Linked DNA regions of Kluyveromyces lactis. The protein of the gene in region 1 interacts with the protein of each later gene in a pairwise test. Links are inferred from orthologs where the notes say so. Each region holds a gene or a part of one and is shown on either strand. Other genes may lie near its edges. The genes, in order: GIM3 and PAC10.

The links.
Region 2: the proteins of GIM3 (region 1) and PAC10 interact in binary tests that used the Saccharomyces cerevisiae proteins (3 or more experiments, as listed by UniProt). The link is inferred for Kluyveromyces lactis from reciprocal best matches to the Saccharomyces cerevisiae genes GIM3 and PAC10.

Annotation. Positions count from the first base shown.
Region 1 is NC_006040.1:948,801-951,212, reverse strand, and holds GIM3 (tubulin-binding prefolding complex subunit GIM3), read right to left. Parts: upstream 1,024-2,412; coding exon 634-1,023; downstream 1-633. Other genes in the region: KLLA0_D11143g (uncharacterized protein), read left to right, coding at 116-161, 250-494; ARO9 (aromatic-amino-acid:2-oxoglutarate transaminase), read right to left, coding at 1,373-2,412. UniProt on the Saccharomyces cerevisiae protein: Binds specifically to cytosolic chaperonin (c-CPN) and transfers target proteins to it. Binds to nascent polypeptide chain and promotes folding in an environment in which there are many competing pathways for nonnative proteins.
Region 2 is NC_006039.1:412,217-414,983, reverse strand, and holds PAC10 (tubulin-binding prefolding complex subunit PAC10), read right to left. Parts: upstream 1,398-2,767; coding exon 804-1,397; downstream 1-803. Other genes in the region: DSC2 (Dsc2p), read left to right, coding at 1-709; KLLA0_C04477g (uncharacterized protein), read left to right, coding at 1,680-2,767. UniProt on the Saccharomyces cerevisiae protein: Binds specifically to cytosolic chaperonin (c-CPN) and transfers target proteins to it. Binds to nascent polypeptide chain and promotes folding in an environment in which there are many competing pathways for nonnative proteins.

The DNA.
Region 1 (2,412 bases):
GATATGATATCCATATAAAAGAATAATGAATCATGATATATGAAGGATAAGGGAGATTGTTAGCAAGAACAAAGAATAGAGTAGCAACAGTAATAACAAAGCATTAGCCGCAGATATGAGATTTGCACCTATTTTTATTGGAACGGCGTTGGCCAGTTCGTGTATGTTTAAGGACGGATTTTCTTAACCCTTTTTTTTCCCTTTAATTCTCAACTTTACTAACATCATCATCGTCATCGTCAAATACAGTATCTTCACTTATGGTTATATATCCTGACAGCTTCCAATACTACAATGATTTAGTGAATGTGGCACATGAACTTGATGGGACTATAACGCATGAATATACATTATTCAATGGGTTTAGTTTGGATTTGCCAGAAGAGTTTGTCGCTAAATTCAAGGAAATGAACCAACATTTTAATTGGGGGCTTGAAATAGAAGAAGACCAGGAGGTTCATGCGTTAGGTGGGCTGAAAGAACATGCTGTTTGATTGCATTATGGACTGAATCAACGTTGTGTCGGTCTTTACTATTATTTTCTATGTAGATTTTATACGCAAACATATATTACTCGGTTTAAGGATATTTTTTCAATTCTATCAAGCACTTCAGCAATGTATATTTATGGGCTCAACGTTCCAAATTGATGTTGTCACCGAATTTGGCATACAATATACTCTTTAGCTCTTTTATTCTTGAGTCCAATTCCGCCTCATCGCTCTCTAGCTTTTCTATATTGCTGTCGATGTTTTCAGCATCGGATTCTAACTTTTCAACTACTTCTTTCTGTTTTAGAAATACGAAGACGTCTCCGATCTTATATTGTACCTTCTCATCCTCGTCTATCAATTCAATTTCCAACGATACGTCGTCGAGGTACTCTTTCTCTGTTCTTTGTTGCGTCAAATCTTGTTCGATAGCATCTTTTCTCATGATCAACTTGGAGAACTCATTGATACGTTGTTGATCTTCGTATGCAACGGTGACCGTGTTCTTTTGACCCTCCGGTAGTAATTCCATTTCTAGTTAGTGTGTTGCGTGTAAGATGTGGTAGATGTCTCTGTGTCTACTCATGTCATGTACTGTTTTCATCTGTACTTTTAGCCATTCTTGTTATTTTTTATTCAACTTTTACATACTCTAAAGATTTATCTTGCAAATTACACTACTGACATGCAAAATTATGTCATGCAATTTTACAATTTCATGCTCAAAAGAAAGCAGTTGGGACATATTTCACGGCCCTATCAGGTTTATTGTTTCACGTTGTAATTATGCATTCATATATAAGTATCTAACTTTTGTTTTTATGGTGCAACGTGAGGTTGAAAATTAGCAATTACCAGAAAGAGCTGTAAAACAGACCCCTTCAGTTGTGATACTCTTTGAAGAATCTCTCAACACCTTTACCTAGCCTTTCAGCAGCTGTTTGTAAATGCTCTTCATCTGGAGCCATAGCAAATGTAATTCTTAAAAAGTTGGACCTGTCATATGAAAATTTCTTGTCAACTGCCATTCTGTAACCCAAGATTACAATGCAACCTTCTTCCAACAACTTGTAGTTTAAGAAATTCATGGCCTTTAATTTATCCGAGATTTCTCCGAACTTATCAAAATTGATCTTGATACTAATGAACATACCGGCAGAGGGTTCAATCAATTCAAATAATTCTTCTTTATAAGCTGGTGTAGCTTCCAATGCTTGGAAAAGCACATTTCTTCTATGTGTATACTCACCAGCAACTTTCATGACCCATGATAGCCAAGCTCTGACCTTGTCTCCATTGAAATTTTCTGCCCATTTGTCTATTATATTAATGGTCATAGCTTGGGCAAGACCACATGGCGATCTAACAGAAATGTCTGCATATTTCAATAACTTGTCTAGGATAAATTTATTGGCGACAATGAAGGAAAGACGCATCCCAGGGGCGAAGACTTTGGAGAAAGTTTCTAATCTAATGACTCTCCCTGATGTGTCTATGGTCAAATATGAGGGGGCTAATATTTCTTTACAATATTTATCGAAAGTGATAGTGCCATCGTTATATTGATTCTTTAATGGATCAGACTTGTCAAAGGGTAAAAACTTTAGGTAACCATACGGATCATCTTCCACAATTATAATGTCATGTTTTTCGCATAGATCGTATATTTTCTGTCTCTTCTCTTTGCATTGTGTCATACCGGTTGGATTTTGCCCTGTGACGATTGTGTATAACAGTCTAGGCTTAGATAAGTGAGAATATTCACCTGTTGACCAATTCTCAAGCAATTGGTCCATATACTCGACGTTAATACCCTGCTGAGAAGCATCATCCGTGATATCAACTTTCAATGGAATCGGAATCCCACCATTTGCAGTGACGTTGGAGATAGTCGGAGTGAAAGTAAATTCTTCCATTAACA
Region 2 (2,767 bases), on another chromosome or scaffold:
GTTCCTTTTACAATATGACCCATTTATCGTTGAATATGGACAATATTGGAGGTATTTTACGTTTCAGTTAGGGAGTTTAAATGAAAGCGATGTTGCCATAATGACCTTGATTTGGTATCAGTTTAGATCGTTAGAGAGGCTATTTGGATCAAGGAAGTACCTTAATATCGTGATATTATCATGGGCTTATACAACAGTGGTAATATTTTTGATTTCGAATCTACTTAACAAGCTTTTGCCTGGAATTTGGTGGGATCAATACACAAATGGCCCACTACCAGTAATATTGTGTTTGACTCATTTCTACAAACAGTATACACCAAGGTTATACGAATTCAATATAATAATCAACCAACCTTTTCTTCTTCATTCTAACACGATCGTTTGGAAGCTGACAGATCAATTTTTCATCCATGGCCTGTTATTCCTTGCCATGGTAAATCAAGGCGCAACAGGGTTGGTAATCGGACTAATAAGTTGGATTTGTGCTATCTTGATGGATAATGGGCTACTACCAGGTACTGACTCCTTCCAATTGGCGCCTTTCAAAGACAGCTGGAACAGAAGTTCTAGCACATTAAACAGACCAAGCGCAGTTATGACAAACGATATGACATCGGAAGATCTAAATGAGGAAGAGGCCGAAGAACCTCAAGATGAACCTCAGCGCACTTTAGGGGTCCAGTTCTTGGATACTTTTAGAAGGTGAAACACTTTTTGTAGATAATGATAATATTTAAATCTATCAATGCGTTGATTCAATTACATGGTGTATATACATAAATAGGATTTAAAGAAACAGTTCAACCAGAAGAGCCTTCCTTTTTCATCTGCTGCCTCCTTTGAACATCCCAATTGTATAATCTAGCACAATTGACCTCCATAGTCGTGATATTCTCTCTTAGGAACTCCACATCTTGCTGAGATATGTCCAGATTTTGCTTGGCATCTGCTAGCTTTTGAGCTAAAAGCTCAATTGCCTCATCTAGAGGATACTCGAGCATCACATCGGCACCTAACCATAACCCGACCTTTAATTCAGGATCCTTCGGATTGACTGACGCCTTACTAAAAAGCGTTTCATTTAGCTGATAGTTGATCAGCAAGCTGTCATCTTCCTCCTCATCGTCTTCGTCAACCTCTGTCTCTCTCTTTTGCTTCAAAAGCGCACACATATTGAGAGTATTTTCAATATCTGGAATCTTGCTTTTAAGCTGTTTTATGTTTGCTAGTTTAGACTCTTGCATGTACTTATATTTGGATAGATGTTCTTGGAACTTGCTGAAGCACATATCGAAATCCTCAGGACTCTTCACATACTGCTCCACCTTTTCCACGAATGGAGCCTCAGGAATCCCTCTAGGATTTGTCTTTGCAGAATTGAATAGCGTATCCATTATGTTACTTTGTAGTTTTGTTTTGACGTCTCCACGCGGTCCAAGCACATACCAAGCAGCTCTTTCCCCTCAATACTTCAACAATTCTTTGTTTCATTCAAAGTTTGTTTTAATTTGCAAAACTATGGAAGATTAACATTGTTTACATGCAGAAGAATGAAAAGTTAACAAGTAAAGGAAAAGTTGGCATTATCGGAAAAACGAAATCATTAGTTCGGAAACTTCATCAAGTGCTCGGACATATTAGAATTCCTGGTTCCTTAGTTAAAATCAAGTCAGTAAATGTTAGAGAATGAACTCTCGTTCGTTTCTCTCACAAGAGTTTCTTTAAACGTAATTGAGTTGAATATACATGCCAAGGATGCAACAATCGTCAATAATGTGTCGTTTTCTCTTCCAAATGGTCAGCTAATGGCAATTATTGGTGGATCAGGTTCAGGTAAGACTACCATGCTTAATGTTCTAGCAGGCAAAACAAATTCGAGTATAAACTATGATGGGGAAATCCAATACAGTCGAGATGCTGCAAAAGAGGGATCTAAAGCTGACGAGAAGGTAACCACAGCGTACTTGACACAGCATGACGCATTAGCTGCGAGGTTGACATGCAGAGAAACACTTCGTATTGCTGCTGATCTTAAATTACATCTGCCGAAACAAGAAAGATATTCATTAGTAGAAGAGTTGATTGCGGAGTTGGGGTTGAGGGATTGCTCAGAGACGTTCGTAGGTGATTCAATAAACAAAGGACTCTCAGGAGGTGAAAAGAGAAGACTAAGTATAGCAGTACAGATGATTGCAAATCCGTCTGTCTTATTCCTGGATGAACCAACAACTGGGCTTGATGCGTACTCTGCGTTTTTGTTGATAAAAACGTTAAAGAAACTTTGTGAACATGGCGGAAGAACTATTATTATGAGCATTCATCAGCCTCGGTCAGATATACTTTTCGCGTTAGATCAAGTGTGCCTATTATCAAAGGGATTCCCGATGTATTGCGGTGCGGTGGTCGGTATGGTGGAATACTTCTCATCCATGGGATACACCGTCCCTGAAAGGTGCAATCCTGCAGATTACTTGATAGATATCTGTAGCGTAGACAATAGAACTGAAAAGTCGACGCTTGATTCTGAAGGAAGGTGGAATATGTTTGCTTCGGAATGGCAAGAGAGATGTTCTACCAAATATGACACCTCAAAGGAAACAGCGGTTATAAGCGTCGATCCTTCTCCACCATCTGTGTCCATCTTACAACAAACATTCATTTTAACCAAGAGAAATTTTTTACTATCCAGTAGAGATAGGCTGACTCTCTTTGCAGTACAATTTGAGCCAGTTATTGTCGGAATTGTAGTCGGTTGGATTTTCTA